Sus scrofa: one gene and its partners. The protein of the gene in region 1 binds, or shares a complex with, the protein of each later gene. Links are inferred from orthologs where the notes say so. Each region holds a gene or a part of one and is shown on either strand. Other genes may lie near its edges. The genes, in order: SNRPF, CWC27, TXNL4A, PPIL2, USP39, GPKOW and SF3B5.

Region 1 (4,093 bases):
CTTCTCTCTTAAGAACTGCTTCTATCAAATTACTTAGATTTGTACATTTAGCATTTATCAAAAGACACGAATTTCACTGGAAAAGGTTCTCTCGGACCAAGTGCTGGGATGTTTTGCTTTCCCCACAAATCAGTATATTTTTCTTATGACATTGTGAATCAAACGCCTGAGCTCTTCTTACTTTTAACCACCTGGGAATCAAATCTGTGGCTGAATTTTTTTTTTTTTTTTGTCTTTTGTCTTTTTGTTGTTGTTGTTGTTGTTGCTATTTCTTGGGCCGCTCCCGCGGCATATGGAGGTTCCCAGGCTAGGGGTTGAATCGGAGCCACAGCCACCGGCCTACGCCAGAGCCACAGCAACGCGGGATCTGAGCCGCGTCTGCAACCTACACCACAGCTCACGGCAACGCCCGATCCTTAACCCACTGAGCAAGGGCAGGGACCGAACCCGCAACCTCATGGTTTCTAGTCGGGCCCGTTAACCACTGCGCCACGACGGGGAACTCCTGTGGCTGAATTTTTAATATGTCTCATACAAAGTTCATCAAATTATAACATCCTCCTTAGCCTTGATTTGACCCCTTAATTTTGCTTTGTTTGTCAATTAATTATATCCCTGTAAGTCACACCAAACCTTTGAGAAGTCACATGAAGAAAAATAAATACAATCTAATGATCTTCATAACTCTTCCACTTACCTGCATATTCATATAGCCATCTACAGACACCAGGTAGCCTTTGTACTCCATTCCCCACTTAAGTTTCACCATCACTGGCTTCCCTGTTAACCCATTGAGGAAAGGTTTGGGATTGAGAGGCAAACTCTGCAAAACAAAAACAAAAAAAGAACCCAACTGAATAAGTTTCTTTAGCTTGGTTTCTATTACCTACTCTTTTCTGCCAAATTACCAATATGCTGTGGTATCCAAATGAAGCAAACTCTTGACTCCATCTCACGTTATTACATAATTTTCACTTTTATTTGTGGAAGAACTTCAAAGAAATATCCAGCCAGTCAATTTCATCAACCCCATCAAGACTTATTCAATGTTCACTTAAGAAACATTCACTCACTGTTCCAAAAATATAATGAAACCAAGGAAAAGGCAATAGAAAAAAAAGAAAAAAAAAAAAAAAGGCAGATGACAGTCCCTGTCCTTAAGAGACCTACAGTGGGAGGGAAGGGTCAAAACATACACGAGTGGGCAATTACTTTGTAATGTAGTAAGAGGAGAATGCTATTACATGATACCAAACAATCCAGTGTTAAGAGAAATGGAAGAGTTGCCTGAAGTAAGTAAATGCCTGTTTTAAAGGATGACAGATATTTCCAGAGGGAAAGAGGCTATTCTAGGCAGAGGAGGCTACCTATGCAAAAGGAGGGAAGAATGACTCGGCAAGGTGATCTCAGGGACATAAAAGTTAGTTTTGTATGAAGTTACTGAAGAGGCAGGGGCAGATCATAATTGAGTCTCTCACTATGAAAAGGTAGGCCTGGATCTTATTTGACTTAGCAGTGACTCCTACATATAGGCAATCAATCACTTAATGTTTGTTTATTCAGCAAATGCAACAGTATCTCCAACGAATTCAGACTTTTCCCCCTTCCTTCATCTGTTGGCCCATCCACCCAAAGAGAGAAAAGAACCAAGAAACTTGGCTACTAAACCCCTCTAGGATAAGCATACTCAGAGTGATCTCAAATAGTTCTATGGTCTTCACTCTTTTCTTTCTCCAATTTATTAGCCACACGGCAAGTATTTTTTATCACATCATATCTCTACCTAAAATGTTTTGATGGCTTTCCAAAGTAGACCCGGGAGTAGAACTCAGACCTCCTAAAACTGCCTAATACTTGCCCAACACTCCATCCTAGCAAGCAGCTGTGGCTTTCTCTCAATTCCTCCAACTGGTCAGGCTTTCTTTCGAGGCTCAGAGTCTATGCTCATGTTTCCTGAGCTTGGTGTATACACTCTTCCGCCTCTTTAAGGGTGTGTATTTCATATCGTTTAAGTTTCAGGTTAAATCCCTTCTCCCAAAGATGCCATCCTTAAACACTTCTAACGTAGCATGGTACCCCCTCATAGCATCCTGTGTGCTTCCTCCTTAGCACTAACTTTATTTGAAATTATGTATTTGTCGTTATTTGATCAATGTCTCTCTCTCTCTCACACCGACTTAAACTGGAGCAGGGGCCACACCAGTACTTCTCGCCCTATAGTCCTAGTTCCTAGAACACACCTGACAGGTAGCAGGAGCTCAGTAAAAATTTGCTAAGAGAACAAATGAATGCTCAAAGCTCGGGCTCAGTATTCCAAAGGGCTGCAGGGCTTCCCAGCATCACCAGACAAAAGCGGATTTTGGAGTGCTGTAAGCTGTACGTGAAAAACCGCTTCATCTTTACTCCAACTCTGTGGTCCCAGGCAGCAAGAGCAGCTCAGGCTCAGATTCAAACGAAGAAGAGGGGGAAGGGGACATTCCTAGGGAGGGGAAGGAGGGCGTGCGTCAGACACCCAGAACTGGCAGAAAGGGGCTGGCCACAGGCTGCGCGGGGCCTCACGCGGATGAATGGGAAACGCGCGAAGGCCCGGCGAAGCTGGTCACCCGCCCTCCCGCCCTCTCTCTCTCTCTCTCTCCCCCACACGGGCGACTCTGACCTTCTCTTTCTCCTTACCATCGCGACTACTGCTGCTGTAGTGGGCAGATGCTGCAGACTACCCGCCGCCGACTCAGCGCCGTCCGGCCCTCGTGGACTGGAGTTGGCTACAGCAACTTCCCAGCCACCAAGCTTCCAGAGAAATGGCCGCCAAATAGCAGCGTGACCTTTCCCCTCCGACTACGGCTCTTCCGGCTTCTGTGATTGGATGCAAAAAGATGCGTGCTGATTGGCGGAAGTGACTGGGGCCTGTCTCCTGGCAACCAGCAGGCTCGAGTTTCCGAGCGCCTTCCCGGCGGGGGCAGGAAATAGGAAACCTTCAGCAGCATGGGTCTGATACCTGCGGCACTGCAAAGGCAGAGAGGTGGCTCGAGTTGCCTGTTTGCTCGCCTGCCTCGAGGGTTTGCTGTCTGTCCTGCAGAATGGACGTGATTTCTCGCCAACTTGGCTGGTGGAGTTTCCTTTGGCTTTGCACACCTGGGAAAACGAGCTCGGGGCTCTCAAGTTTCTTCTTCATTTTCCCACAGATCCTGAGCCATGGGGACTCCTCTGCCACAGTCCCGTTCTACCTGATGGCTCTCTATTCTGTAGTGCTCATTTCACCCCATCTCAGAGGAAGTGGAAGAAGCAAGACTAGATAGACTTAAGGAGGTGAAACGCACCGGAAGAAAGTCAACTGCAGAATATTTTTCAGATGAGGTCAGACAGAGACTAAAATACGGTGTGGTGGCCTCCCGGTCCACCTGTTTCTTGTGCTTTGCGAGCAGAGGCCCACTACAGTCCTCATACTGGATTTATTTTTTTCAAATATATATATATCTAAAACATTTTGGATATAAATTTATATACATGTAATATATATTATAAATAAATTGCATATAAATTCAGTATAGCTGAATTACAACATTGTGCCAGTTTCTGTTGTACAGCAAAATGACACAATCATACACATATATACATTCTTTTAAAAAAATTTTTTTTTCTTTTTTGTTTTTTGTTTTTGCAGCCCTAAGGAGTTGAATTTGAAATTGAAATTTATGGAGTTCCCGTCGTGGCTCAGTGGTTAACAAATCCGACTAGGAACCATGAGGTTGCGGGTTCTATCCCTGGCCTTGCTCAGCGGGTTAAGGAGGTTAAGGGTCCGGCGTTGCCGTGAGCTGTGGTGTAGGTCACAATCCGGCTGCGATCCTACATTGCTGTGGCTGTGGTGTAGGCCGGTAGCAATAGCTCGGATTAGACCCCTAGCCTGGGAACCTCCATATGCTACGGCAGCGGCCCTTGAAAAGACAAAAAGACAAATAAGAAGAAAGAAGAAAAAATTGAGATTTAAATGTTGCGGTATTGTGGAGTAGTGGCTAAGACTTTAGAGGCAGTCTGAGTTTAGAACGTCTATCACGTGGGAATGGTATTGGGCAGTTTCTTAACTCCCGAAGGCGTT
Region 2 (3,500 bases), on another chromosome or scaffold:
TTGTTATGTTCCAGAAGCTGAACGCAGACCAGTCTGAGGAGTGTAGTGACAGGAGGGAGAGCTGAGCAAGGTTGCAAAGGTAAGGAGAAGCCACATTTTACAGAGCTTCATAGGCTAAGGTGAGCAGTTTGAATTTCATCCTAAAAGGAATGAAGAACAGTTGAAGAGTATTAGTTTAAAAAAAAAAAAAAAAGTGCTGTCATCAACTTTGCATTTGAGGAAGATCATTGTTGGCAATATCAGAGGATGAATTAGAAGAGATAAGCTAGAGTCAAGGAGACCTATCAGGAAGCTATAGCAGGAGGAGAGCTTGATAGAAGACCACAGCTGTGAGATGGGAGAGAGAGAGACTTGAAAGAAATCTAAGAGGTGACTGATTCCATACTGTGAGGCAAAGGGGAAAGAGGGGTCTAGGACAATGACAAGATTTCTGATTTGGGCAGTTTGTTAGATGGGTACAAGAGAAAGGTGGGGAGAAAAAAGAAAAGTAGTGTGCTTGATTTTGTGCATCTTAAGATTCAGAAAACTTGGAGACATCTGTGTAACATCATGGGTCTGGTAGATAGGATCAAGGCCTAATGTAAAATTATCATTATGTTCTTATGGTCTTGGCAGGGATGAGGTCATCTAAGGATAGTGTATGCTCTTTAATCTCTTTTGTCTCCCAGGACCCTTTGCAATGTCTAATACTGTGGACCTTCTTCTCAGGAAATATACTACATTTGCAAACAAAATTTTATGAATTTGTAGGGAATTTATTTTTTTTTAGATCTCCTGAGGACCAAGAATGGAAGACCTAGTCAGTGGTTATAAAGTTTCAAGGCTAAAGAATTTCTTACATGTCTCACTGAAAACACTCAAAATTTCTATCCCTAGAGAATTGGTTCAATAAGACTGATATAAGGGCTAGGATTTTACATTTTTTAACAATCCCTGCCTTATAGCCTGAGGACTAGACTTCAAGGACCACTGCACTAGGGGCCACAAACCTCGAGTTAAGAATCCTGCCTCATCAAGACTCACTTAGTTGGCGAATCACAAGACAAAGATTCTCAGGTGGTTTCTTCCTTCTTCTCTATTCTTTTCCCTCCCTCTTTCTTCATTTCTGCCTCTACTCCTCTCCCTGTTAATGCTGGGTGCTATTCTGGAAATTTGAAGATACAGCAGTAAGCAAAATAGTCCAAAATTCTAGCTCACATGGAGTGCTTCCTTTAATTATGGGAGAGAGACAGTAATCAAATAAATAATTGAAATATGTATTGCGTCAGATGAGTGATGAATGTTTCAGTGGGGGGACAGAGAAGGGGAATAGAGAGTACTGGAGGTGGGTGGATGGTTCTGCCATTGTATTACGTTGGTCAAGAGAAGTAATCACTGAGAGGCTAACATTTGAGGAGAGGCCTGAAGGAGATGAAAGCTAGCAATGCAGATACTTCAAATAAGAGCATTTCAGGTTAGAGAGATCAGCACCTACAAAGTTGGCTAGTGTTGCTGGCCTGGAGTTGTGGGAGATTATGTCAGGGAGGTACAGGTTGTGTAGGGTCTTAAGTGAGTTGGAGACCCATTGGAGGGTTTTGAGAAGAGGAGTGATTGCTATGGCTTAGATTATAGGAAGAAATATGAGCTTCTTTACCTCCACTTCTTTTACTTGCATTAATCCTTGTGTGAGGTCAGTAGGCTGGCCATCAGCTTCTAGAAACCATGTTTCCCACTGGGAAGGAATAGGGTTGTAGATGGACACAATATCCTGGGTGATCCAGAGGGGGCACAATCTGCTGTGCACTGGGGCTGGGTGTGGATTGAGCAACAACCCGTATGGGCTATGGTGTACTTAACGTAGCTGGCCTAGAGCAAACCTCAACTGGTAGTCCCACCTGTAGCAGATTCTTCAAACCCTTATTAGGTCAGAACAGACCAAACCAAAAAACCTGCCTAGAATGCCATGAGGAGAGTCTGAGATGGATCTCTGGAAGTGAAAGGAGAAAGTGGAATGCCTGGCAAATACTCCATTTCGATTTTTATAGGATGGAGAATATGAAAGTGCAGAGTATGATGGACACGTTGATGGTGATGAGAAGAGCCTGATGAGAGAAAGAATTGCAAAAAAGTTAAAGAAGGACACAAGTGCAAATGTTAAGACCTCCGAAGAGGGTGAAGTGGAAAAGAAATCAGTTAGCCGCAGGTGAGTGAAGTGTTGTGTACTCAGTTTCAAAACTTATGTCTTTTTATGTTTCATTTTAAATCACGATTGAGTCCTCTGTTCAACTTACTTTCTAACATACTATTTTCATAGTGTTTGCTATATATACCAGTTGTGCTACATTAACCCACTCAGAGGCCTAAAAGAAAATAAACCAGTTTTATTTGCAGCCAAGGCTGTATGAGTCAAATTTTACTTTATTTCTCTCTGATGTCTTCTTTAAAAGCCTCTAAATTTTTTTATATTTTGGGTAAGCAATATATTAGCTAGATGTGGAAGGTTTTATTTGTTTAAAACCAACAAGAATTGTAAAGTAATCGTATAGAAGAAAAAAGAGACATCAGATTTAGGTGAGTAAAATTTGTCAGAACTAGTTAAGAAATGTGTGGGCCTGAAAATGCTCTTATATATCTGTTGAAGTCTGATTTATACTGTCTACACCTGCTAATCTCAGTGGTGTCATAAAAGAAATTGCAGCAAATGTCTGATCATAAAGAGCTGTTGAAGTTTATTACTCAACATTTTACTCTCCTGAAATTCAGCTTAATTGAAAAACTCTCCTTTGTCATTCTATTATTAGAACTTTAGGGTATACATTTTAAATAATATTGCTTTAAACAATAGTGGTATTTGCTTTCTTTTGAATGGCCTACATTTGGGGATAAGATAGATATAACCACATATAAACGACTTTCTTTTTTTCTGTTATGTTGCTCATCCTCATACAGAAAAACTTAAAAATCATTTATTTCCATGTTGTCATTGCTTAGCTTCCTCAATTTTTTTCTTTATATAACCATAAGAGTAATTCCTAGAAATTTCCACTCCTAGTATAACCTTTTACATTCAGAAATGACACTTAGAAGTTACCTTAAATATCTTTTTTCTGGCAACATTCACCTGATGCTCAGTTAATCACTGTTGAGTAATTGAACATAGTAGATTAACTTTGCACCATTATTGCTTGAAGATTTTAGTGCTCATGTATATGCTTGTACATACATGGAGTTGACGGGCTTCTCATTAGCTCTTTTAATCAAATCATGAACATAATCAAGGATACTTTTTTCTCTCTCTCATTCAAGACATGTATTTTCTGATTTTTAAAAGCAATTTTTAAAATATTAGATTTTTAATGGGACAAAAAATACATTTTGAATTTTCCGTAGATGAATCAAATATTTGTCATGTTTAAGTGCTTTTTGAGTCCCATACCCCACTCTGTTTTGTTGGCCTTAGTATGATTCCAAATACTTATGTAGCCTATGATTAATATAACTAAAATTTAGTAAAGCTAAAT
Region 3 (3,224 bases), on another chromosome or scaffold:
GCCGCTCCCGCGGCATATGGAGGTTCCCAGGCTAGGGGTTGAATCGGAGCTGTAGCCACCGGCCTACGCCAGAGCCACAGCAACGCGGGATCTGAGCCACGTCTGCAACCTACACCACAGCTCACGGCAACGCCGGATCGTTAACCCACTGAGCAAGGGCAGGGACCGAACCCGCATCCTCATGGTTCCTAGTCGGATTCGTTAACCACTGCGCCACGACGGGAACTCCCTATACACAAATTCTTTTTGTTTTTGTTTTTAAATGTGCTTTTATGGAATAAAAAATGATTTGTCATTTTACATTTTGTTTTTTTTTCTCCCCAACCTCTTTTCCTTTTAGGTTAAAAATTTTGCAGTTATTTATCTTGTGGATATCACAGAAGTACCTGACTTCAACAAAATGTATGAATTATATGATCCGTGTACTGTCATGTTTTTCTTCAGGTATGTTCTCTTAAAGTTGTTATTTAAATTGAATAGATGGTCTGGAAGTTTAATGTAATCAAGATATCTTTAGATTCTTTTCTTTAGGAGGAGGTCAGTTATGCACTCATATCATAATATGGTTTGTGTCACCAGGCAATCAGTGTGATCTTTTAAATAATTTTCAAAGTAGCAATTACAGATTTAGCATTTACAGTAACACATTACCCTTTTGAAATAACTGCCCAGAAAACTAAATGAAGTGTAATTAAGTGGAAGATGTTCTTATTGACATTTCAGATACCTTTAAGTATAATATGTTGATGAAAAAATGTTTAAAATAACTGACTTTTTAAATATGATATCAATGACTTTATTTAGTGTCCTTTTGTGATAGCCAGAAGGAAAACCTTTACTTAATTACTTTGCTTAGAAATACAAGATTATTTTATCAGCTGAAAAATTCTGTTGCTGGAGTTCCTTTTGTGGCCCAGTAGTAATGAACCCAACTGCAAGTTCAGTCCGTGGCCCAACTCATTGGGGTAAACATCTGGCGTTGCCATGAGCTGTGGTATAGGTCACGGACGTGACTTGGATCTGGCACTGCTTGTGGCTGCGGCATAGGCCAGTAGCTGTAGCTCCAGTTCTATCCCTGACCTCACTGTAGCTCCAGTTCTGTCCCTGGCCTGGGAACTTCCATGTGCTGTGGGTGCAGCCCTAAAAACAAAACAAGACAAAAACTCTTTTGTGGACTTTAATCAGTCAGTTACTGACTCAAGGAATAGAATTTCCCTAATCGCCTTAAATTAATTTGTATCCATGATTTACAAACTTTGCATGAAAGGAGAACATAGAGTGGCTACTGGTTAGGTACATGGGTGTCCAATGCAGATGCAAATACGTTTGATTGGGGTTTATAAAGTTAAGTAGCATCACAAGTGAAAAAAAATTCTCTTGTGGACATTTAATTTGGAAAGAATCACCATTTCACAGTTTTTACTTGTCAAAATTTCTTACTGTTGGAGTACCCATTGTGGCTTAGCAGAAATGAATCTGACTAGTTTACATGAGGATGCGGGTTCAATCCCTGGCCTCACTCAGTGGGTCAGGGATCTGGCATTGCCGTGAGCTGTAGTGTAGGTCACAGATGCAGCTGGAATCCTGCGTTGCTATGGCTATGGTGGTGTACGCCAGCAACTGTAGCTCCAATTCGATCCCTAGCCTGGGAACTTCCATATGTCTAGGGGGTGGCCCTAAAAAGAAAAAAAATTCTTAGTTTATTGTTACTACAAAAGTTAGTAAATAGCAACATAAACATTAGGCCATACTCCAGAGGTAGAGCTTCACAATTAGAGAAGTTCTGGGTAGAGTATATAGGGTGTAGATTAGCTTTCTGTTCTGTTTGACAGTGTGCCCAAACTTGGTGGCTGAAAACAACACCATTTATGAGCCCAAGGTCTGTAGGTCACAGTCCAGGCAGGCTCACTGGGTTCTGTCTTGGGGTCTCAAGGCCATAGTCACAGGCTGGGCTTTTAGCCAGGCAGTCAGTCAGGGGGGAATCTACTTGGCTCTTGGGGACTATTGGCTGAATCCAGTTTCCAGTTCTGGGTGGACATGGGAATGAGGTGTCTTTCCACCTGGGCCCCTCTGTGCTCCTAGAGGCCCCTCCAGCTTTGAAGCCCTCAACCAAGAGTTGAGTCATTTTTACACAGTTGCTCTAACTTCCTGTTCTGCTTTCAGAGGGCACACTTGATGGATTAGACTGTATAATTCTGGGGCATCTCCTTATTTTAAAGTCAACTGGTGGGTACTTGTAGGGATACCTGCAGAATTCCCTTTGAAGTGCAGTGTAACTGATCGGAGGCATGATGTCATCTCATAGTCCTGAGGATTAGAGCAGGAAATAGCAGAGGTTATTTTAGGATTCTGCCTACTGCAGTCTGCCCTTTGGCTCACAAAGATTCAGATCCCTCTCGTATGCAAAACTGAGTGTGGATGAGGCTTCTCTGGGTGACCCATTAAGCCCAGCTCCTGGACACTCTTTCTCTGTGGCCCCTCCCCAGGATACAGTGTGGGACAGGCATAGGGAACAGTCTGGGTTCACCAGGAGCAGGGCTTTGATGCAGGGCTAGGATCATCCTCTTGGTCCAATGCCTGCCCTCGGGAGGGTTCTCCCCAGCCTTTTCTGCCTTTTTCATGAATGGCATTTCAGCTGGCTTATTTTTCAGCCTGCTTCCTGCCAGCAGCATGAAGTTGTAGTGCTTCCCCTCGGCCTGAGCAGGTAGAGTCTGTCCTGGGTGCCAGAGCTTGCTGGTTGCTTCCTGGGAGAAGATCCTGTCCTTTGAACATTCTGACCTTTAGGTCTTTTCCAGGTTTCAGTAGGTTATGTGGCTTCTGTGTCAAGAGTTCAGCACCCATTTCTGGATTTCAGCATCTTTTGCTATTTGGAGAGGCTGAGAATTTGTTGTTGTTGTTGTTGACAGTTTTTACAACCAGTTTCTCTCTTCTTTTACTATAAGGCCTAGGAAACCAGGCAGTGCCTTCAAGACTTTACTTCTGTGTTCTCAGCTCTTATCCACATGCATCGCTTACAAGTGTCACAGACATTCTGCCACTGTGTAGCAAAGATCCCTTTCCTCCACTCCCTGGAACATGTCCCTAACTCCTTGCAAGTCCATATTTCTACTAACAGGCTATTTAAGGCAATCCAGGCCTTTTCTGTTATGCTTCTCAAAGTTCTCCAAAAGTCCTCCAGGTGGGAATATGGGTGCCGCCTTAGATCCTGCTTCTCACTGCATGTG
Region 4 (4,246 bases), on another chromosome or scaffold:
CCAGCCTGTGCCCCATCCCCAAGATGACTCAGAGAATGACCCTGGCAGCGTGGAGCCTGTGCCCTACCAGAGGGACCCGTAACCTCTCTTGTGCAAAGCACGGCCAGAGAAATGAATAAATTCCCCCCGGAGGTGCCTTCCTTGTGCCTCGCTCCCCAGGGACCATGCTGTCCCTTGGGCTTTCTCCTGTCCCAAGTAGTGGTCAGGGTACTGCAAGCCAGAGGCTCATGGGTCTGAGCCTGCACACAGTAGGTGGTCAGGTGGTCAAGTCAGGGAGGCTGGGATCCAACATGGGAACTCAGCCTACACCACAACCACAGCAACTCAGGATCCGAGCCAAGTCTGTGACCTATACAGCAGCAACACCAGATCCTTTAACCCACCAAGCAAGGACAGGAATTGAACCTGTGTCCTCATGGATACTAGTCGGGTTACCTCTAAGCCACAACAGGCACTCCCAAGAGTGCTGGCAATTTAGTGTTTGGGAATCAAGGGATACAGTGTTTAAAGCCATCAATCTGGGCAAGATCACCCAGTGCTTGACTGTAGAGGGAGGTCCAGGGCTTGGCTGGGGCACACAAACATGGTGGTCTGGCTGAAGAGACAGAAGGTATCATCAGGGCTTTGGACTTTCAGGCTTGATGGCTCCTGCCCCTGGGCCTCCCAGGAGAAGGGCCTGGAGGCAGTGGGAACTGTATGGGCAGTGAGCGGGTGGACAGAAAGTGTGGATGTCCCTTTTGAGCTGTCTGCCTTGGGGGGGCGGGGGGGGGGTAGTTGAGGAGTGGATATGGGGCCTAGTGGGAGTTTTCCTTTATATTTACTTTTTTGTTACAATCGCAGAATGTGTAAAGTTCTCAAGCCAGGGATCAAATCCTGCCCTAGGTGCAAACTGCACCACAGCTGTGGCAACGTGGGATCCCTAACCCGCTGAGCTAGGTGGGCTTTTTTTTTTTCCTAAGGCCGCACCCGTGGCACATGGAGTTTCCCAGGCTAAGGGTGGAATTGAAGCTGTAGCCGCTGGCCTATGCCATAGCCACCGCAACGCAGGATCCGAGCCGCGTCTGAGACCTACACCACAGCTCACAACAAGGTGGTTAAGCGGATCATTAAGCCACTGAGCGAGGCCGGGGATCGAACCTGAGTCCTCTAGTCAAATTCGTTTCAGCTGAGCCACGACAGGAACTCCCAGGCGGGCTTTTTAAAGACCTGAGAAATCAGGTCAAACTAGGGTGGGTCTAAGCCCTGTGGGGCAGATAGGCAACGGTCCAGAGAAAGGCACCCGGGAAGATGGGCCTTCGGGGTAAGGTGGCTCTGCCTAGGGCTGGCCCAGAAGCCCCAGCACCCAAGCGCCCCCCGCCCCCCACCTCGGGCACGCGCGCTGGGCACCACGGTTCCCGGCATACCCAGCGCCAGCTTCCGGGGCGGGGCGGGGCGGGGCGGGGCGGGGGGGGGCCAAGGGACCCGGAAGTTGTTACGAGGTCGACGGAGACGCTGGAGTCTGAGTTGTCTGCGATTGTTTTTCTTCGGAGACGCGGCTGTCTGAGTTGTCTGGGGTTGTTTTGCCACGTTCGCTCGTCCTGCCGGCGCCGCCGCTGCCACCGACGCCATGGGGAAGCGACAGCACCAGAAAGACAAGATGTAAGTAGCCCCCCTCCGGGAGCGGGCCCCGTTGGCCTCAGTCCCGCCTGTGGCCGTTCCTGCGTTGCGCCTTTTCCCCGAACCCCTCTCAGCTTCGCTTCCCCAGAAGCCTTCGGCCTACGCCGGCGGGGCGGCCCCGTAAGGCTCAGGGTTTCCCAGGGTCCCCGTTCCTTCAGCTCCGCCACTGCTGTCTTACCCCGCGCGCGGTTCACGCCCCCCAGCCTACCCGAGAGTTCCAGCATCTCCTATTAGAAACAGACCAGCCTTGCCCCACCAGCTGCCATCGAGTTTCTTTGATTTTCTTCATGGCAGGATGGGAAAGGCCTGTGTCTACCTGCTGTTTCTTGCTGTCCTTTTGAAACCACAACAGCCAGGCACTCGACCCCCCCGCGCTGCTCTTGTTGGGATCCAGTAACTTTTGCGTGGCTACATCTGGGAGTCAGTTTTCAGACCTCGTTTTGTTGGGCTTCTCAGCAGCGTGTGACACGGCCGAATAGCCCTTCTCTGGTGTCTGGGACACCATACACTCCTCAGGGGCTTCTCTTTCTCCGTCTCCTTTGTTGGATCCTCCTCCCCTCTCTCGGACCTCATAGTTCTGTACCGCCCCCCCCCCCCTCCCAGTTTACTCTTCTCCGCGGTGGTCACACCAGTCTTGCAGTGATCAGCTGCTTGCCAGACACCTCCTTTTGGAGATCTGAGGGACATCTCCAATTCACTATGCCCCACGTGGAGCTCTGGATTGTTGCACCTGAGCCTGCTCTGCCCCCATCTTTCTTTCTTTTTTCTTTTCTTTTTTTAAATTACTCAATGAATTTATTACATTTATAGTTGTACAATGATCATGACAATCCGATTTTATAGGATTTCCATCCAACACCCCCAGCGCATCCCCCCACCCCCCAAACTGTCTCCTTTGGAAACCATAAGTTTTTCAAAGTTTGTGAGTCAATATCTGTTCTGCAAAGAAGTTCATTGTGTCCTTTTTTCAGATTCCACATATCTGATAGCATTTGATGTTGGTGTCTCATTGTCTGACTGACTTCACTTAACATGATGATTTCTAGGTCCATCCATGTTGCTAAAATTTTTCTTTCTTCTTTTTTTTTCTTTTTAGGGCTGCACTCGTAGCATATAGAAGTTCCCAGGCTAAGGGTTGACTCAGAGCTACAACTACAGGCCTACACCACAACCATAGCAATGAGGGATCTGAGCCCCGCCTGCTACCTACACCACAGCTCATGGCAATGCTGGATCTTTAACCCACTGAGAGACCAGGGATCGAACCCAAATCCTCATGGACACTAGTCAGATTCCTTTTCACTGTGCCACAAAGGGAACTCTGCCCCAATTTTTCCATCTCAGTGGTCATACCACTGCTCAGTTTGCTGGGGTCAGAAGGCTAGAAGTTTCTCTTAGCTCCCCCTGCCTCCTGTTGGCCAGTAAGTCCTGCTGGCTTTTCCAGGAACTGATCAGTTCCCCCTCATCCACCACTCCTCCCACAGGTGGAGTTTATGCCATGTCCTTCTTAGACCTTTGTAGTTCTCCTCTCATTGGTTTTCTGCTGCCTCTTGCTTGTCCCTCTGCACCCAGCAACCAGAGTGAATCTTGGAGGACATTCTCGATCTAGTCAGGGAATGACTGTTCAAAACCCTCCAGCAGGAGCTCCCGTTATGGCACAATGGAAACGAATCTGACTAGTATCCATGAGGATGTGAGTTTGATCCCTGGCCTTGCTCAGTGGGTTGGGGAATCGGGCATTGCCTTGAGCTGTGGTGTATGTTGCAGATTCGGCTTGAATCTGGCATTGGTGTGAGCTGTGGTATAGGTTGCAGACACTGCTCAGATTCTACATTGCTGTGGCATAGGCCAGCAGCTACAGCTCTGATTCACCTCCTAGCCTGGGAGCTTCCATATGCTGTGGATGGGTCCCTAAAAAGCAAAAATAAAAAAAAAAATCCTCCAGTAGCTCTCCACCTTACTTGAAGCAAATCTCGAATCCTCACGTGGCCTTTGGGGCCTCTTGTGATGCAACCATTACCCTCGGCCCTATCACCAGTGGCCATGAGCCCCTGTGTGTGCACTTCATCTTCACTTTACCCATCTTCACCTTACCCATTTTGGGGAACACTCCAGCTTTTCCTTTCTCAGCGTTTTTGTACTTGATTAGCCTGTTTAGTCCGTCTGCCTGGAAAGGTCTTCTCCTAGATTGTCACCTGGCCGGCTGCTTCTCATCATTAAGCCTTCTATTAAATTCAGTTCATTTCCTTCAGAGCAGGATGGTTTGTGTTTGCTTGCTGGTTTGTGTGTCCCTGTGTTCTTTTGTGTGTATATCACCATGTGCCTAATGCATGTAGGTGCTTAATAAGCATTTGAAGAATTAGTGAAATGGTTCAATTGTCAGTTCCTTACTTCCAGAGACTTTGTTTTCCTTATTAAGGGGATGGTAGTAAGATTCTCTCTTTTCAGGTACATCACCTGCGCAGAATATACTCACTTCTATGGTGGCAAGAAACCAGGTAAGGTTTGAAATCCTTCTGTGCCCCTTTGGTGTATGTGTGAGTGTAATTAAGGAATGATGCCTTCACGGTACAGTGAGCCTTAACAATTA
Region 5 (3,500 bases), on another chromosome or scaffold:
TCTGCTGTGCTACAAGGGAGCTTCTCCCATATTGTTTTAATGTGCAGTTGAGAGAGGGGGGAACTATGGTCTCCAGATGGTTATCTCTGCCCCAGCCAAGTACGTGATGAAGAAATAGTATTTGTGTTTCTAGCCTTCAGTTCCTTGTGAATCCAAACATAGTCACAGGCCTGATAAACACAGGAAACTATTAAATAAGTTGGCCAGTTGATAGGGATTTGAATACCTTTTCTTTTCTTTTTGTTCCATCTTTTTAGGGCTGGCATATGAAAGTTCCCAGGCTAGGGGTTGAGTTGGAGCCGCAGCCACCAGCCTATGCCATAGCAACACTGGATCTGAGCTGCATCTGCGAACTGCATCACAGCTTGTGGCAACCCCAGATCCTTAACCCACTGAGCAAGGCCAGGGATTGAACCCACATCCTCCTGGATACTAGTTGTGTTCTTAACCAATCAACCACAATGGGAACTTTTGAATGCCTGTATTTTAAAACCCCTTCATCATATCCACATCAGCAAAATGTCTGCAGAGCTGGACTTGCCATGAAAATCAATGTAAGCTGATAATTTCTCTAATGTGAACTCTGGGGGATTCTCCAGGAGTCCATTTACTTCTGCAGAAGGGCTATGGTTTAATCCGAGTGTTTGACTCCTAGGCTCTGTCTAATGTTCCTCCTCTCCGGAACTACTTCCTGGAAGAAGACAATTATAAGAACATCAAGCGTCCTCCTGGGGATATCATGTTCTTGTTGGTCCAGCGTTTTGGAGAGCTGATGAGAAAACTCTGGAACCCTCGAAATTTCAAGGCACATGTCTCTCCCCATGAGATGCTTCAGGCTGTTGTCCTTTGCAGCAAGAAGACTTTTCAGATCACCAAGCAGGGTAAGGAAGGAGTAATTCATGTTTTCTGACTTTAGGGCCACAGAGCTAGTCTCATGAGCACATTGACTTCCACTTTGCAGCAAACCTTACAGTAGCTGGAGTGAGTGTCCAGTGGGTGGCGTGGTTAGGTTCCTCACTCTTCCTTCATCAGCCAGCCCTGCTCAGAGACCCAAGAGATTTCAGCAGGATAGAAAGTCTGTCTGATTTGGTGAACTAAGTTTTACAGCTCAGGGGAGAATCAGAAAGCTGGGGAAGGCACCAACCCTTACCAGGCAGCTGCCACTTTTGCTTCTCATTTTGTCATGTTGCAGAGCAGGATATTCTAATGAATTATTTGGGTAGTTTTCATCCTTCCAAACCAAGTTACTGCTACATGAATAGCACTTAGCACCTGAATCTACTGTAGTATTCTCTAGATCGGTTGATTCACCAATCACTTGTGGTGCTAGGTTTTAGAGCTGCAGGGATCAGAAACACAGCTTTTCTCTTCCAGGAGCTCCCAAACTAGTGGGGAACTTGCTTATGTAGAAAGATGATTACAGGGTGTTAAGTGCTGTGATGGAGGAAGTACACTATGCTCTGGGAGGGAGCTGGGCTGGGGGTCAGCATGAAGGAAGAGACACCTGAGTTTTAGGTAGAGGGGAGTTGGTTGGGGGTGGGCATTCCAGGTAGAGAGGACACTGGACAGGAGCGTGGAGGTGCCTGGCACAAAGAGAGGACTGCACGTGGCTGGACCTTGGACCAGCACCGAGTGCCGAGGTGGAGGTTGGAAGAGAAGGACCACATTGTCGGGTTTATGTGCCGGTATAAGGAGTTTGGGGAATCAGTGAAGGCTTTTAAGCAGAGAGGTGCCGTCACATTTTTGTTTTAAAAACATTCCGGCTGAGGAGTGACTTAGAGGGGAAGTTTAGTAATGGCTTTTGATGGGTGATGAGACTCACGTTTGGAAGAGAGATAGTGATCAAAGGTACTCTTTAGATCAAAGAGCCTGGGGGTGAGTTAAGATAAGAAGACTTAAGGGAGTTACTGTTGTGGCCCAGTGGGTTATGAACCGGATTAGTATCCATGAGGATTCAGGTTCAATCCTTGGTCTAGCTCAGTGGGTTTAGAATCAGGTGCTGCTGTGAGCTATGGTGTCGGCCGGCAGCTGCAGCTCTGATTTGAGCCCTAGCTCCCAGAACTTCCATATGCCACTGTGAGGCCATAAAAAAAAAAAAAGAAGACTAAGAGCTTGTCCGTCAGGAGTGCCAGCATGTAGTGGGTGGCCAGATAGAGGAGGATGCCAGGGGATGGGATAGGGTGGCGAGAGAGGAAGGAGGAAGAGCAGGAATGTGAAGTCCCGCCAGCCAGCACGTGGTTTGGATTACACTGTCTCCCAGCTACAACATCCTACCTTCCTTCTTTTCCAGGGGATGGAGTTGACTTTCTGTCCTGGTTTTTGAATGCTTTACACTCAGCGCTGGGGGGCACAAAGAAGAAGAAGAAGAGTAAGTCATGTTATTTTGTAAAAGGAGCTCTATTTTGCCTGCTTCCTTTCAAAAACATTTTGCAGCTTCCCAGCCTTTTCTTACCTGTTTATCTTTTTGGGTTGGGGGGTGTCTCTGCACATGTGGGCCAGACCTTGTTCCTGAATGGGTTCTTTTCTGTTTTTCTTTATTAGGAGATGTGTATAGCCAGTGGCAATTTTTTTCCTTTTTTCTTTTTTGGCCTCATCCACAGCATATGGAAGTTTCCAGGCCAGGGATTGAGATCGAATCTGAGCTGTAGCCACAACCTATGCCATAGTTGTGGCAATGCAGGATCCTTAAACCACTGTGCAGGACTGGGGATCAAACCCTCTTGACCTCAGAGACAATGCCGGATTCTTAACCTGCTGCACCACAGCGGAAACTACCCCAATGGCATTTTTGTTTGTTTGTTTGTTTGTCTTTTTGCCTTTTCTAGGGCTGATTCTGTGGCATATGGAGGTTCCCAGGCTAGGGGTCCAATTGGAGCTGTAGCCGCCGGCCTACCCGAGCTGTGTCTGCAACCTACACCAACCACAGCTCATTGCAACGCTGGATCCTTAACCCACTGAGCAAGGCCAGGGATCGAACCTGCAACCTTATGGTCCCTAATTGGATTTGTTAACCACTGCGCCATGATGGGAACTCCCCCAATGGCATTTTTAACAAGTGGAAATGGATATAATTGTGCCGTTGAAATCCTGACCTGGTTTCAAACTGAGAACTCAGCAGCATGTGGTAGACATGTGGTGCCACAGTGAAGACTTGGAGGGTGGTTTGCCTGGCTCGTGATTTGGTAAAGCATACTAAAAGCTAGGTCTTCGCCCTGAGCCTGTGCTTGGAGAGGTGAGGCTGGCGTCTCTGTAGACTCTCAAACCTCGAGTCCCAGGTCTCTTAGCATCCATGCTGGCTTAGCAGTAGTTAGCCATTTCTCAGGGGTGCTGAAAATAACTCTTGCTTAGAGACTGTGGATAATTTTGGAGCCCGATTGCAGTTTTCCTCTTCCTTTGTTCCGGGGGTGTTGGTTTCTGGATGTGGGATTATGGCCTGGCTCCCTTTCTGCCAAATGGTCCTGCCACCTCTACAGGTATCTTCAGCCCATGCACACCAGAGC
Region 6 (2,537 bases), on another chromosome or scaffold:
GGAGGTTCCCAGTCTTGGGGTCGAATCGGAGTTATAGCTGCTGGCCAGCTAGGATCCGAACCACATCTGCGACCTACACCACAGCTCACAGAAATGCGGGATCCTTAACCCAACTGAGCGAGGCCAGGGATCGAACCTGTGTCCTCATGGATGCTCGTCGGATTTCGTTTCTGCTGAGCCAAGACAGGAACTCCAGGAAGGATGTTCTTGAACATGCTGATAGGGTGGGACTTGGGCAGTGGTCGAGGGTAGGGGTGGGAAACAGGGCATTGAAGACTGATGCATCTCCCCCTCCAACAAGCCCATATTCTGTGCTCCCTGCAGAGTGGTGAAGCCCCGTGTCAACTCACTGAGGCCCAAGGGGTTAGGGCTGGGTGCCAACCTGACTGAGGTCCAGGCCCTGGCCCCCTCCAGCCCCCACCGCCTGCCAAGGCCAGATGAGGAACGAGAGAAAGATAAGGAAGACCAGCCTCGAGGACTGGTGCCTGGAGGAGCTGTGGTGGTTCTTTCTGGCCCTCATCGAGGCCTTTATGGAAAGGTAAAGAACCTGCGTTCCCACTGTGGCTCAGCAGGTTAAGAACCGGACATAGTGTCCGTGACGATGGGGGTGCAATCGCAGCCTCACTCAGTGGGTCAAAGATCCAGCATTGCCCCACGCTGCAGTGTAGGTCACAGACGTGGCTCGGATCTGGCGTGGCTGTGGCTGTGGCAAAGGCCGGCAGCTACAGCTCCAATTGGACCCCTAGCCTGGGAACTTCCATATGCCGCGGGTGGGGCATTAAAAAGAAAAAAGGTAAGGAACCAAGATGTGCGTGGAGCCCAAGACAGGCAGAGGAAAGACTTTTGTGACCATCAGCGGGAGGAAGAATTGGGTTTAGGGTAGAAAGGCCGGAAGTCCTTGTCTTTCAGGCCTGCCTGATCCTCCTCCTCACTCAGTTACTCAGGACTGCTCGCTGGGCCATTCTGAGCCTCAGTTTCTAGCTAAAACGGAGAGGGAGTTTCCATCGTGGCGCAGTGGAAACGAATCCAACTGGGAACCATGAGGAACCATGAGGTTGCGGGTTCAATCCCTGGCCTTGCTCAGTGGGGTCAGGATCCGGCATTGCTGTGGCTGTGGTGTAGGCCGGCAGCTACAGCTCCCGTTAGACCCCTAGGCTAGGAACCTCCATATGCCACGGGTGTGGCCCTAAAAAGACAAAAAAGACAAAACAAACAAACAAAGAAAAACAGTCAATTGCTAACTAAAACGGAGAGAATGCCATCCATCACAAGTCCCTGAGGATTAGCTACTTAAAATATATCCACGCTTCACGGTCTGCTGGGGGAGACACAGGGGTCAGGCCTCTTGGAGGTTAAGGGTAGACAGCTTGGTCCTAGGAACGTGGGCCAAGACCACTCAACCCCTGCCTCGCTTCTCTCCCGCAACACTTTAGATAGAAGGCCTTGATCCTGACAATGTTCGGGCCATGGTCCGCCTGGCTGTGGGGAGCCGCATGGTGACTGTTAGTGAGTACTGCCTGCGGCCTGTCTCCCAGCAGGAGTTTGACAAGAACTCCTTGGATCTTGGTGAGTGAGCCTCTTACTCAGTGGGGCGGGGGAGCTGGAGAAGCCTTCCGGCAGTGGGGGAGTGGTAAGGCCTGTCTTGGGGGTGGAGATGATATCTGCAGAGGGCCCAGGGACAGTGGTCTCCTGAGCAAGGGTGAGAGATCCGAGGTCAGAGATCATCAGCCCAGAGATCCGAGGTGAGACTGAACACAGTGGCTTATTCAATGTGATTGAAGAGAGAGGTTGATCTAGTAACCCTGGGTCTTTAGCCTCTTTCTTTCTTTCTTTTTTTTTTTTCCCCTTAGCTTCTTTCTGAGGAGGAAGGAACAGGTGTGGAAACCAATTCCTACCCTTGGGAGGTCTTTGTCTCTTTGGGGTGGTGAACCTCTCTTTTGCTGGAGATTGAGAGCATCTAGGACTAGGGCCCAGCGGGCAGGAAGGCATTCCAGGCCTGGCGGCAGGGTGGGTCAGCTGGGCACATTGGGAGAGGGGTGCCGAACAGCTCTCCAGGACTCCCTCTTCCACTCCCAGCAGGTGGCTCAGAGACGCGCTTTCAGGCTTAGCTGGGGTGGTTGAGGAAAGCTTCCCGAAAGACGCGGGGACTGTTCAGAGGAAGGGGAGAGCATTGTGATAACCCAGGCGAAGGCTTTGGGGTGAGAGAGGGCACTTTGGCTGGAAGCTGAGGCGTGGCCTAGAAGGACAGCGAGGGAGACACACGAGGCTCTTTCCTGGTTCTCCTCCCACACCCCTTTGAACAGGCCAGGTGAGCCAAACTTCCCCGGAGCGGCAGAACGGAACAGCTTCCTCCTGGAAGGCCCTGCGGGATCAGGACCTCCACGTCCGGCGGGAGGACTCAGAGAGGAAGCGGAAACACCTTCCAGACCGGTGGGACCCTGCGTATCTCGGGTGGGAGCCGGGGGCAGGGCTATGGGGAGGCTCCAGCAGTCAGAGAAGGCTTCCAGGGCAAGGCAAGGCAGATGTCTGGAAGGAAC
Region 7 (2,715 bases), on another chromosome or scaffold:
AAGGGGGAAGTTTTTTTTTTTTTTTCCAATTTTTGGTACAGGCATTTGATCCCAGAGGGAACTGTTTTACCACTAAAATTTTTTAATAAAAATTATATATATTTAAGAGGTGCAACATGATTTGATATACATATACACAATAAAATGGTACCACAAACTAATTAACATATTCACCTCCTCACAATTTTTAGTATTGATACAGTATTAACTATAGTTAACTATAGAGCTCTAAACTTACTAGTCCTATCTAACCGTAACTTTATACCAGAATAAAGATACTTTAAAGTTATCTTTCTCCCAGTAAAGAATTTATTTGGCCGTCATACAGGTTTTTTTAATCCATTCATCAGATGTTTTTTGAGAAACAATCTCTGCGAGGCTCTGTGGCTAGCATAACAGAAGCATATGATACAAGACATCATCTCTTTTTCATTAATATTTTTAAAAATATTACTATTTGAATTTATTGAACTTCGCATTTTGGGGTTTTCTTTGTGGATTTCATGCTACAAATAGATCAAGTAGATAGATGTCTCACCCTCAAAAAAAAAAAAAGACATCATCAAAAAAGTAGTTTTTCTCAAGTAGTTTGTATTCGTGTGGGGAAGTTCTTAAACCAAAAACTGGATATAAAGTGATAATAACAAAGAGATGTACAGGATGAAAAGAATTTACATCTGTCTGGAGTAGCCAAAGTCAATTTCAGGGAGATACTTTCGAGCTGACTTAAAAGGGAGAAGTGTTTGCCAGGGGAACAAAAGCATTCCACGCAGATGGAACAGCTCGTACAGAGAACTGGAGAGAGCAGCACGGGAACGTTTGAGAAGTAGAGGCTGAGGGCCTGTAGGTGGGGTGAAACTTGTTGGGAGGATGTCAAAATTAGAAGCTCAAAAGGAGGAGCCTGTTGTGGGGGCCTGAATGTGTCGGAACTGGTGCTGTACTTAGGTCACTAGGCGGGAAACGGCGGCCCCGCAAGCGATGAAAGAAGTTTCCACACAACTTGTAAGAGACATGGCTGGGGTCAGACCTTGAGTTTCCTGACTTCAGGGTGATCCACCCCTGGTTGTGAAACGGCTACTGTACCCTCTGTAGCTCCGAAAGCGGAATTGCACAAAGAGCTCCTTTCCCCAGTTGCTTACAGCCTTGTACTACTTGTTTCCCACTTCCTCTCGGCCCCCCATCCGCCCGAGGATGCTTCCTGCCTCCCAAACACCGCAGTCCATTCAGTCTCTCAAACCCACACACAGAGGTCCCAAGAAGTCTCTGCGAACCAACCCTCGGAAACCACAAGTCCCAGCATGCAAAGCTCCTGTTAGAAAAGGGCCGCTAGATGGACCAGCATGCAACGCTCTGCGAAGGAGGCGGGGCTCTCTATAGGGAAGGCCCACTGGTAGCGTTGCCGAGGCAACTCCAATTCCGTGACAGAATACACTTCCGCCTGGGAGGCCGGGGACCGCGAGTCGCGCTGCTTTGTCGCTGTGACGCCATCCACCTGCGGCCGCGCGTGTACAGAGGTTCCGGCGGGTGGCTCCTCTCCGGCTTGAAACCTTAGAGCGGCTTCTTCTCGTCTGCGGCTTCTGACCTGCGAGCAAAGGAAAAAGCAACGAGATGACAGACCGCTACACCATCCACAGCCAGTTAGAGCATCTGCAGTCCAAATACATCGGCACCGGCCACGCCGACACCACCAAATGGGAGTGGCTGGTGAACCAGCACCGCGACTCCTATTGCTCCTACATGGGCCACTTCGACCTTCTCAACTACTTCGCCATTGCCGAGAATGAGAGCAAAGCGCGAGTCCGCTTCAACTTGATGGAGAAGATGCTGCAGCCTTGCGGCCCGCCCGCCGACAAACCGGAGGAGAACTGAGACCTCACCGTCTCACCGCTGTACGTGAGCACCTCTCTGCGTTCCTCCGGTTTGTCGTCATTCCCGCGGGTTCCTCTCCCAAGTGGACGGATTCTTCATAGCTCTGCTTTTCGTGCTTTCTTTGTACAGAGGTCCTTACCCGGGGCGTTCCGTCCGACCTGCCTTCCTGTGGAACAAAGTGTTGGGAGACCCGTCATAACCCCTGAGAAACTGAACAGTGGAGAGATCCTAAAGTCTGCAGACGTTAGAGGAGATATGGCTGGAGTGAGATGGGATTAAGAGGCTCGTTTTTGGCTAGTTGACTGTCTTCGTTGCTTTTTCTATAAAGTTTAGAAATGTTTCGGTCTCTTGGTGTGGACTACTTGTGTTCTGGTGGAGGGGCCAAGGAGGGCTCTGGGACTGTGGTTTGCCGGGTGGCGGGGGGTATAAAGAAGGGAAGGGTTGGGGAGGGGTTCAACAGTAGCACAGGGCCAAAGTTCGTTGCCAGACACTTAAATACGCTCTTTATAATATTCTCCAACCCTGACTTCTCCCAGGAACTTTTCTCAGGCCCTTAACACATTCACTATTGAGGTTTGTGATCACTGTGTCCTTTTTCTTTCATACAAAAAAAAAAAATCTTGACTCGCTTTGCCTTCTCTCTGTAGATTACACCTCTTTCTTTTGGAAATACGTGGACATATCTTGAGTATTGACAAACTGTCAAATTAGTTCTTAAATTCATTCAGCAAATACGTGTTGAATTTTATGTGGCAGGCTTTAAGGACCTATATTACACTGGTTGGGGGAGCAGAAGACCACAAAATTTGCAGACATAAGCAAGCACATGTTGGAGGGTGCTGTGGA

What was found.
Region 2: SNRPF (region 1) and CWC27 share a complex: the UniProt entries of both Homo sapiens proteins name them as parts of the minor spliceosome. The link is inferred for Sus scrofa from reciprocal best matches to the Homo sapiens genes SNRPF and CWC27.
Region 3: SNRPF (region 1) and TXNL4A share a complex: the UniProt entries of both Homo sapiens proteins name them as parts of the U4/U6-U5 tri-snRNP complex. The link is inferred for Sus scrofa from reciprocal best matches to the Homo sapiens genes SNRPF and TXNL4A.
Region 4: SNRPF (region 1) and PPIL2 share a complex: the UniProt entries of both Homo sapiens proteins name them as parts of the minor spliceosome. The link is inferred for Sus scrofa from reciprocal best matches to the Homo sapiens genes SNRPF and PPIL2.
Region 5: SNRPF (region 1) and USP39 share a complex: the UniProt entries of both Homo sapiens proteins name them as parts of the U4/U6-U5 tri-snRNP complex. The link is inferred for Sus scrofa from reciprocal best matches to the Homo sapiens genes SNRPF and USP39.
Region 6: SNRPF (region 1) and GPKOW share a complex: the UniProt entries of both Homo sapiens proteins name them as parts of the minor spliceosome. The link is inferred for Sus scrofa from reciprocal best matches to the Homo sapiens genes SNRPF and GPKOW.
Region 7: SNRPF (region 1) and SF3B5 share a complex: the UniProt entries of both Homo sapiens proteins name them as parts of the minor spliceosome. The link is inferred for Sus scrofa from reciprocal best matches to the Homo sapiens genes SNRPF and SF3B5.

The regions. Positions count from the first base shown.
Region 1 is NC_010447.5:87,620,064-87,624,156, forward strand, and holds the start of SNRPF (small nuclear ribonucleoprotein F), read right to left. Parts: upstream 2,801-4,093; 5' UTR 2,677-2,800; coding exon 2,674-2,676; intron 824-2,673; coding exon 698-823; intron 1-697. UniProt on the Homo sapiens protein: Plays a role in pre-mRNA splicing as a core component of the spliceosomal U1, U2, U4 and U5 small nuclear ribonucleoproteins (snRNPs), the building blocks of the spliceosome.
Region 2 is NC_010458.4:43,384,464-43,387,963, forward strand, and holds part of CWC27 (peptidyl-prolyl cis-trans isomerase CWC27 homolog), read left to right. Parts: intron 1-2,024; coding exon 2,025-2,182; intron 2,183-3,500. UniProt on the Homo sapiens protein: As part of the spliceosome, plays a role in pre-mRNA splicing. Probable inactive PPIase with no peptidyl-prolyl cis-trans isomerase activity. As a component of the minor spliceosome, involved in the splicing of U12-type introns in pre-mRNAs.
Region 3 is NC_010448.4:127,977,889-127,981,112, reverse strand, and holds part of TXNL4A (thioredoxin-like protein 4A), read left to right. Parts: intron 1-340; coding exon 341-444; intron 445-3,224. UniProt on the Homo sapiens protein: Plays a role in pre-mRNA splicing as component of the U5 snRNP and U4/U6-U5 tri-snRNP complexes that are involved in spliceosome assembly, and as component of the precatalytic spliceosome (spliceosome B complex).
Region 4 is NC_010456.5:50,230,043-50,234,288, reverse strand, and holds the start of PPIL2 (peptidyl-prolyl cis-trans isomerase-like 2), read left to right. Parts: upstream 1-1,446; 5' UTR 1,447-1,606; coding exon 1,607-1,638; intron 1,639-4,104; coding exon 4,105-4,154; intron 4,155-4,246. Other genes in the region: verprolin, read left to right, coding at 1-82. UniProt on the Homo sapiens protein: Has a ubiquitin-protein ligase activity acting as an E3 ubiquitin protein ligase or as an ubiquitin-ubiquitin ligase promoting elongation of ubiquitin chains on substrates.
Region 5 is NC_010445.4:59,136,098-59,139,597, reverse strand, and holds part of USP39 (U4/U6.U5 tri-snRNP-associated protein 2), read left to right. Parts: intron 1-655; coding exon 656-881; intron 882-2,290; coding exon 2,291-2,368; intron 2,369-3,500.
Region 6 is NC_010461.5:43,179,302-43,181,838, reverse strand, and holds part of GPKOW (G patch domain and KOW motifs-containing protein), read left to right. Parts: intron 1-324; coding exon 325-538; intron 539-1,433; coding exon 1,434-1,566; intron 1,567-2,303; coding exon 2,304-2,430; intron 2,431-2,537. UniProt on the Homo sapiens protein: RNA-binding protein involved in pre-mRNA splicing. As a component of the minor spliceosome, involved in the splicing of U12-type introns in pre-mRNAs.
Region 7 is NC_010443.5:21,229,800-21,232,514, forward strand, and holds SF3B5 (splicing factor 3B subunit 5), read left to right. Parts: upstream 1-1,464; 5' UTR 1,465-1,608; coding exon 1,609-1,869; 3' UTR 1,870-1,889; intron 1,890-1,998; 3' UTR 1,999-2,215; downstream 2,216-2,715. UniProt on the Homo sapiens protein: Component of the 17S U2 SnRNP complex of the spliceosome, a large ribonucleoprotein complex that removes introns from transcribed pre-mRNAs.